Linked DNA regions of Nothobranchius furzeri. Each later gene encodes a partner of the first gene's protein in a complex. Links are inferred from orthologs where the notes say so. Each region holds a gene or a part of one and is shown in the gene's direction. Other genes may lie near its edges.

What was found.
Region 2: the proteins of dcun1d3 (region 1) and ube2f are in contact, whole or in part, in a crystal structure (PDB 4GBA), measured with the Homo sapiens proteins. The link is inferred for Nothobranchius furzeri from reciprocal best matches to the Homo sapiens genes DCUN1D3 and UBE2F. Residues at the interface, in NP_775746.1 of Homo sapiens: Glu108, Glu109, Glu112, Pro122, Thr123, Glu124, Met139, Cys140, Glu194, Ile204, Ala207, Leu208; in NP_001265234.1 of Homo sapiens: Leu2, Thr3, Leu4, Lys7, Leu8.

What each region holds. Positions count from the first base shown.
Region 1 is NC_091756.1:31,621,114-31,625,619, forward strand, and holds the start of dcun1d3 (DCN1-like protein 3), read left to right. Parts: upstream 1-1,536; 5' UTR 1,537-1,921; intron 1,922-2,927; 5' UTR 2,928-2,994; intron 2,995-4,506. UniProt on the Homo sapiens protein: Contributes to the neddylation of all cullins by transferring NEDD8 from N-terminally acetylated NEDD8-conjugating E2s enzyme to different cullin C-terminal domain-RBX complexes and may play a role in the cell cycle progression by regulating the SCF ubiquitin E3 ligase complex, after UV damage.
Region 2 is NC_091754.1:2,840,334-2,844,706, forward strand, and holds the start of ube2f (NEDD8-conjugating enzyme UBE2F), read left to right. Parts: upstream 1-1,392; 5' UTR 1,393-1,604; intron 1,605-3,711; exon of another isoform or gene 3,712-3,734; 5' UTR 3,735-3,791; coding exon 3,792-3,906; intron 3,907-4,373. UniProt on the Homo sapiens protein: Accepts the ubiquitin-like protein NEDD8 from the UBA3-NAE1 E1 complex and catalyzes its covalent attachment to other proteins. Together with the E3 ubiquitin ligase RNF7/RBX2, specifically neddylates cullin-5 (CUL5).

The sequences.
Region 1 (4,506 bases):
CGGAGATAGGCACCAGCCCCCCCACCCCACCCCCATCCCGCGACCCCGCGTCGACAAGCGCGCTCAGAAAATGGATGGATGAAATAATTATGACAACTCTCTTAATCAGAAGACCTTTGTTGTCATTGTGTGGGTCAGTCCTGTTCAATGATGTAACTATGCCTCCACTACATACATATGCACCGCACAGAGTTGGTCACATTATTAAAATGATAAACAAAAAGACATTCAGGCAGTTCAATCCTCAAATTACAATTGGCTCTCTAAGCTTACTGACCCACCAAGTGAATGAGGCAAAAGGTTTCCATTGATGACACACAATGGACGTAGTTTTTGTTATTATAATTTTGTTTGTTTGTTTTTTGGGATGGGGGGTGTCCCCCACACTTTTTTCAATGTAAGTTCTTGTCCTCTGCACTTTTAATCGTTCAAAAACAATATTACGCAATAGGAGTGGGAATGAAAATGACTAACAAGGTGAAAAACAAAGTTGAATTGAAAGCCGGTCTACTCTGTTGGGCTTAGAAAAAATAGAGCTGACATACTTGGTGCTGCAGCCTGCTTCCAGCCTGTTTCCTTCGTGTTTTAGATCATGAACACAGCTGATTTGTTTGATTTAGTGATAAATCGCTCATGTAGACACAAAGGAAGGCTGGGGAGATTTTCAGCAATTAAGATTCAAGTGTTAAAAAGACAAATGCACAGCAAAGAGATGTGTTTTGCTTTTGGTTCTACGAAACGAATACTAGGGGGTGCTAAAGAAAGCAAAACTGCCAAATGTGCCTTTAAAGCAGGATATGTAATTCAGTTTCTATGTCCTGTTAAACCTACTGGTGGCACTGAGTGCTGCGCTTTGAGGTGTGCATGCTTTGTATGAGCAGGTGAGAGATAAATAGGACATAGGAGACTGAAAACTCAAGCTTGTCAAAAGAAAATGGAAATAAAAACAGAAATGGAAATTATTGACTGTGGTTGCTTTTAAAGGCTCACATGATTGGCGTGTGCATTTATTTGAGTATTATTGATATTATAGTCTTTTTAGCTGTAAATTTGAAAATCTATCTAATCTGTAAAACTGCTTATTTAAAGGAGGGAAATTAATGATTGTTTCGCAGTTGTAGTCATTTTTCAACTGTGCATTTTAATAATTGTGGACTAAGAAGGGAAATATTTCACATAGCCCCACCAAGAATTATTTTCAGCAGCCGCCACTGGTGTGGGTGTGTGAAATCTAAACCAAGCTACTCAATGCAAATAAAATTACCCTCCAATTAAAAAATTAAATAAAAAAACTGCTTGCAGATGTGTTTTTTATACACTTGTACCACATGTCTTTACATTTTAAAAATGCAAATGAGCGCATAAATAAATCTGTACAAACTGTTTCCTGTTTTTCCATATCCAGTGTTTTACTCTGGAAAACAAAACAAAAACATTTTTCGACTTCCCCGGTCAAGTCCCAAACTATTATGGTGACAGAATTCGGTGTGACACCCCCGCTCAGATGGAGATCAGCTGTTGGCTGTTAGCACAGACAGAGGAAGTGATGCAGGAAAATGTCCATAATGTAGTTCAATGACTAAAAGGGGGAAGCACAAAGAAATAGGCAGCCTTAGTCCGAGAGTGGCTCTTTAACTTGTTTTAAACTGCGAACCAACAAAAATGAATTCCGATACAAACTCTGACTGCTAATCATTTTATCATTCCCTAAAGGTAGAATAGAGTGCGACTTTATTATGGAAGTTTTTTCTTTTTTTTTCTTTTGGTCAGCTGCCTGCTAGTTTGCTAACAATCTGACGACGAGTTTGCCTCAGTTCGTTACTGCTGGTATTTCGGCCAACTTATTTGCCCACCTTTGTTTTCAGTGACATTTATGAAGTGATGTACATTCAAATGACGCGGCCTACGTTTTCCTAAAAAGGTAAGCTTTTTGAGGATATTTATCTCGTTGTGTCAGCCGGAGAAGACTTAGCATAGCCGCTAGCTAACTTTTAGCTATGTCGACGTGGTCAGGGCCAGGCACTTTAGATGTGGATGTTTAAATGGCCCGGTGACGAGGATGGATCGTTGATCAGTAACCGATTAGCGAGTATTGCCCGACTACTTTAAGCAGTTTAAGCGGACTATTAAACAGAAACTGAATCAGTGTTTACATTTCATTTGGAAGTGCTGTACATGTGCTGTTAAGCTCCCTTGATCCTGATCAAGAGCTTGTCTGTCTCCAACAAGCATAACTTATTCAGATCATCGTTATCAGATGTGTGTTTTTAAACCCAGCAGCTCGTGCTCGGTGACAACATAGCTGCAGATATTACAATTTAATATCTGGGCTGCTCTTCGCCTCGGACAGTTTTTAAGACCAGCTAATCCAGTTAAATTGACGTCTGGATGTGTTACACGGTGATGCCTGTTTATTGTGGAAAAGGGGGCCTTTAGACATCCATCTGATGTCAGAGACTTGAAGTTGGCCAAGTTAGAAGTGTGGGAGACGTGCCTCTACATGTCCAGGACATTGATCTGTACTGGCAATTTGCCCCTGAAGCCTGACTCTTCTTATTAATGTATGACTAGTGACTTTATCAATGATCTGAACAGAGTTGAGTTTGGGTTTAAAAATCAAAGCTGTGTATTTTGCATTAAGCATTGTGAATTATGTTTCATTATAACATGTGAGACTCTTTCTTTGTGGAAGCAAAGAGTTGTACAGAAACCCTTCAAGTGGAGACACAGAAAGATTACCCCACTGTGTAAATATTGCACAATGACTTCTAACTGTCATTTTAGGGTATTTTAAAACTGTCCAATAATTATTTTGCAAGAGGAGAGTTTTGACTTTCTCTTTGTATTGACAAAAATAGTCCCTGCAGATTTGGGAATGAAGAGCTATTGCTTTCTGCTTATGATGACAATATAATGTGTCTTTGCAGCGTTGCTGATCTCAAGGTCACAATGATGGAGCAGAACTGAAAGACAATGCCATCTGACGGAGTGTCTGTAAGTGAAATTGTCATCAGCTGCTCTTTTATGATATAATGCATGAAGTCATCACATCATGTGTGTGTGTGTGTGTGTGTGTGGTAACCATGTCTGTTTTAGTAATTAGGTTAGTGGAAAGAAAATGATGCATTTACAGATTAAACAAACTACCAAATTGATGTTTGCAAGTAAAAACAAAAAGTGATTGATCTGGTTTTACTCATGAATTACAACCACATCTATGAGAATATAAAATATATGAAGCATTGTTGAGCATTCAGTCTGAAAAATGTTAATGGAATGTCTTTCTGATTTTAAAAAAATGATCACAGGATTTGTTGTGTCTGGGTGCAAAGTTACGTATCAATTTTTTAGAGTTTTACTGATAAAAGTTAGTTAAACAATCAAAACATGCAACAAACAGGGCTTTGGAAACTCTCCCTTTATGAAAAAGCAGGTTTGTTTTAAACGATCCCAGACTTCATTAGCGACATATTTCTAAAGCACTTCCCTCATTATTTTCACATGCTGCAACAATAATCTCAGCAACAACAAGACATGAGGCATCAGGTTTAGCTCTAACCTAAATGTAAACTGTAGAAACACTTTTCTGTTGGCTCCCATCATCACATCAGTCAAAGGATTACACAAAATGCTGACATGGCTTCAAGGGATATGACCCAAGTAATTAGCTTGTTCAACTAGCTTAAACAGTAACTACCTACATTCACGGACTGCACACAGTCTGATGAGACATCACCTACAAAGCTGTGTGGGTGGATGGAATGAAATTGATCTGTACATCATTCATATCCCTCATAACACAGATTTTTACTCTGCTCTCTTTAACACCCACCCTGCAGGAGCTGAAGACAAGCCCTGTGTGTTACAAGAGACTGTAACAATTCTGGCTCATTATATATAGGTCCTTCTCAAAAAATTAGCATATTGTGATAAAGTTCATTATTTTCTGTGATGTACTGATAAACATTAGACTTTCATATATATATTAGATTCATTACACACAACTGAAGTAGTTCAAGCCTTTTAATGTTTCTAATATTGATGATTTTGGCGTACAGCTCATGAAAACCCAAAATTCCTATCTCAAAGAAATTAGCATTTTTCATCCGACCAATAAAAGAAAAGTGTTTTTAATACAAAAAAGTCAACCTTCAAATAATTATGTTCAGTTATGCACTCAATACTTGGTCGGGAATCCTTTTGCAGAAATGACTGCTTCAATGCGGCGTGGCACCTGTTAAGGTTGGTTTATGCTTGACGCGTCCGCGAGGTCCGCACGGAAAAGTTGCGTCATTTTGCGTCATTTTAACAACCACGCCCCTCCACCGCGCCTCCGCACGGCCCAGAATTTCCGCAACGCGCACCTCGGAAAATTTCTAACCACGCGGACGGTCGGACGCGGAAAAACATGGCGGACCGGCAAGAACTAGTACGGCAGAGGTTGGTAAATACAGACATTTGTATGATTCAGCTCTCAAAGATCACCATGATCAACATGTTGTTAAT
Region 2 (4,373 bases), on another chromosome or scaffold:
CAATAAAATCAGAGGTTGTAGGCAGATTTAAACATGTGTGTTTTGAGTTTTGTTTTGAAAAGGGTAAAACTGTCGACGTTCCTGATGTCTGGGGGAAGTGAGTTCCAGAGTCGAGGAGCAGAGCGGCTGAAAGCTCTGCTCCCCATGGTAGCGAGACGGGCAGAAGGAACCACAAGATGGATGGAAGAAGAAGACCTGAGTGAACGGGACGGGGTGTGAATACTTATAAGGTCTGAGATATATGGAGGAGAGAGGTTGTGGATTGCTTTGAAGGTATGGAGGAGAATTTTGAAGATGGACCTGAATTTAACTGGGAGCCAGTGAAGCTGCTGGAGAACCGGCGTGATGTGGTGAAAGGAAGGGGTTCTGGTGATAATACGGGCTGCTGAATTCTGGACCAGTTGAAGTTTATGAAGGAGTTTGTTGGGAAGACCATAAAGAAGTGAATTGCAATAGTCGATACGGGAGGTGACGAGGCTGTGGACGAGAATGGCGGCAGTGTGAGGGGTCAGTGAGGGACGGAGACGGTTTATGGAACGTAGATGGAAGTATGCTGACCGAATTATGTTATTAATGTGAGCCTGAAAAGAAAGTGAGCTGTCGAGAATGACACCCAGACTCTTGACGTGAGGTGAGGGGGAGACTGTGGCGCTGTCAATAGTTAAAGAAAAGCTGTCAGATGTTGAGGGGGTGGAGTTAGTGCCAACAAGAAGAAGTTCAGTTTTATTGCCGTTGAGTTTGAGGAAATTAGAGGTGAACCATGATTTGATTTCAGAGAGGCAGAGTGTAAGGGAGGATGGAGGGAGAGTTGAGTTGGGCTTACTGGAAATGTAGAGCTGGGTGTCATCTGCAAAGCAGTGAAACTGGATATTGAATTTGCGGAAGATTTTGCCGATAGGGAGGAGATATACTATGAAGAGGAGGGGCCCCAGGACAGAGCCCTGGGGCACACCTGACTTGACTGGGGAGGGTTCTGAGGTAAAGGATTTTAACTGGATGAACTGGCAGAGTCCAACTCTCACTGGGTCAATAATCACAATGAAATATTAAATCTTTACAGGTTCATAATTATTTGTAAAGGTGGACATTTTCCTCCAACCACATCATTACAAATACTACTACTACTACTACTACTACTACTACTACTACTACTACTACTACTACTAACAATAACAATTATTATTATCTTCATCATCATTATAAAAATAATAATAAAATAAAAATTATTATTATTATTATAAGTAGTATTAGTAATAGTAACAATAACAATAATACTAATGATAATTATAATATTAACGGTTATTAAAATGTTTATAACCGTCCACCAAGCAGCGCGGAACTATTTATCATTACCGTGTGTCCACACGGAAGCAAATAACAGGGCACTGCTCCATTGCGCTTCCGTTTGCCACCGGAGCGAAGTTTCTGTCAGCTGATTCCCAAATCAGTTCCCAGTCTGTTGTAGAATCGGTAATAACTAGTTTTGGATCCTTTGAGAGGAGGACGCGTCTGCTACCCGCCAGGTGTGGTGCTGCTGGCGGCAGCTTGAGCTCGCAGAGCCGCTGATTATGGTTTAGCACGAAGAGCTAGCTGGGAGACAGAAGGTAACACACAAAGAACACACAAGCGGCTCCTGGTGTGAAAAGTTCAGCCGTCAGAAAGGAGCCGTGTCATTTGTGCTTGTGAGCAGAAACCTGGTGTTGAGCGATCTGTCTGGAAACGTCTACGTAGCTTTTATTAGCAACATTAGCGAGGTGTTGTTATGGTAACCCGACCAAAGAGGAGGAGGAAGAAGGTGAAATCTTAAGTTGTCGCTCTAAATCAGCTGGTTTCAGCGCCTTTAAGAAGACTTGGGTTGTTTGTTAGGATTCCTCTGTTGTCACGTTGACTGGATTCGTGTGTGAAAGGCAGGCCACCTAGATGAGACGAAATGAGGGAAGTGAGCATTAATTTGTGATTAATAGGCTAGACTCACTGTTAAAGCTGTAGCAGGTCAGACGTCTGACCACAAACAGGCCTGAAAAATAAGGACAAAACAAATGGCATGCACTATTTTTAGCTTTATGATCAGTTTTTATGGAAATAAATTAGTATACTAATGATCAAGCATCCAGAGCAAAATAGACAGAGAAGTTCACCTTATACTTTAGAAAATTAGTCTTCAGACTTTTTCTTTGACAAAACAATTTATTTTCATAAATAATGAGTACTCCCCGCTGATGTTATGCTCAGACTCAAGCTCTAAATTGAGTGTGTGTGTATATATATGTATTTATTTATTGAAGCATAAAACTAGAACTGCATGACACTTCGTTGAATGTTAAGACTCTTTTAGGTATTATCTGATTAGGGCTGCCTGTCTTTCTTTTCCCTTTGATTGACCTCTGGGCGACAATATCTTGAGACCATTTATAACGAGGTCTGTGATTGATAGGTTAACAAACAGATGCATCTTTCTTACTTCATCACTTTTATTAAACGTACAGGTGAAAGTGGCTTGAAATGATACAAAGAAAAGATTGTTGGGTAGGTTTAAGGGAAAGCCTAAAGAGTCTTTCAGGTTTTCTAAAAACAAAACATCTATTGTACAAGACCTTGTTAAAAGTTTGGTGTACAAGCACTACCGTAGTGCGGCGATTAAAGTGTTGTTGCGTTTGTTTTGCCGCTGACTTTGTGAGCTCTGCTGTGATGATGTTGCCGTACAGACATATGAGGTGACTGACAGCTGGGGCAGGTGTGTGTCGAGTCGGGCTCGGCGACACACGACACCATCACTCCCCCTCTGAGTGAGCTCACCCAGTGCACAAACTGGGTTTTACAGAGTGGAGACGTTACAGGAAACCTCTTTTTACCTGGGTTTGTTGCACTAATACAGGTGGAGTCAGGACATCAGTTATAATATAAAGATTATAAATGATATTTGGGCCTAAAGCAAACTTGGCTCCAACTTTTCTTGCTTTGGCTCAAATTGTCCCAAACATTTTAGTTTTGTTTTCCACTCATCTGAAAGCACAAATGGACCCATTTGTTTGTTTACATCCAGAGACTAGCCGTGACCTTTCCTGATGAGGCTCAGGGGGCTTGACTTTGCTATGGCATCATAAGTGAAACATAAAGTTCATCTTTGTTTGCTGAAGTCATCATGTTGTGGTGTCAGAAACCCTGTCTGACTTCAACAGGATTACAGTTCGGTTTAAAACGTCACAGCAGCGTGTCGCTGAGTCACACCCAAGGACTGTTTTGGTGGTTTGGACTAAAAAGTTGAAAACCAGCTGGTAACACTTTAGAGACTCAGAGAGAAAAATGTCCAAAATAATCACTGCATTGTTTTTCCTTCTGAAGTGTTTTCAGTTTTTCTTGTTTAAACATCAAATAGAAAACATGACACCGTTGAACAGGAAACGTCTGATTCTGCATTAGACCGAGCCGCTCCACCTGTTTAGTGTAATCTGAGTTTATGCATTTATTCCCACTCCAGGTGCTCTTTGATGCTGGTGACCAACACGATGAGTCACAGACACAATCACTCCTCTTGGTGGAAACTTTCAGCAGATTAGTTTCAAAGCGAAGCGGCTCTTATTCAGCGTTTTCTCACACCTCTGTTCCCTCCCGGCCGGCTCTGAGCGGAACATTCAAACCAACTTTCTCACATACAAACAGACACTTTGTTGTTTCTCTGTTTGTTTGTTTATCTATTCTGATAAAATGAAGATGTGGATCTGTGTCACTGGCAGACGTTGGACAGGCGGTGAGGCTCGGGGCAGAGAGAGGCGTGTCTCAGCAGCGTAGCCATGCTTACATTGGCTAGCAAGTTGAAGAAGGAGGATGGAGGGAAAGCAAGCCGTGCCTCTGGAGCCTCAGACTCCACCCACAGGGTCTCCATCAGGGACCGCCTCCTGACCAAAGGTACCAGTATCTCCTTATCGTCTCGTTCCACTCTGAAGGATTTGTAGGCGTGGAACACTGAACCATTACTAATGATTGTCTCTGATTCTAATAGTAATGAGTTTTTCATGCAGGCTGAACATGAAAATAGTCTCCTACACCTACCTCCTGCATTAGCTTCTGATAGAAAACAGATGGTGAAACTCTAGAAAATCCTGACAGATTTACGTCACACTGTCACTAACATTCATGGACTCACCCATCTGGACTCACGACGGGGAAGGCTGTTGTTGGTTTAGTCCAGGAAACAGCAGAGAACGTCTCGGTTAGTAGAAGCTAACCGTTAGCATTAGCAACTCCACCACACAGCAGAACTCCTCCAGGCTTGTGTTATTGGTGGAGATAAATCATCAGCGTTGCAGAGCAGACAGTCAGTGGTAGTCGTGTTGCTGTTAGCCAATCAGAGACAAGCTTCTTGTGTCTTTGTC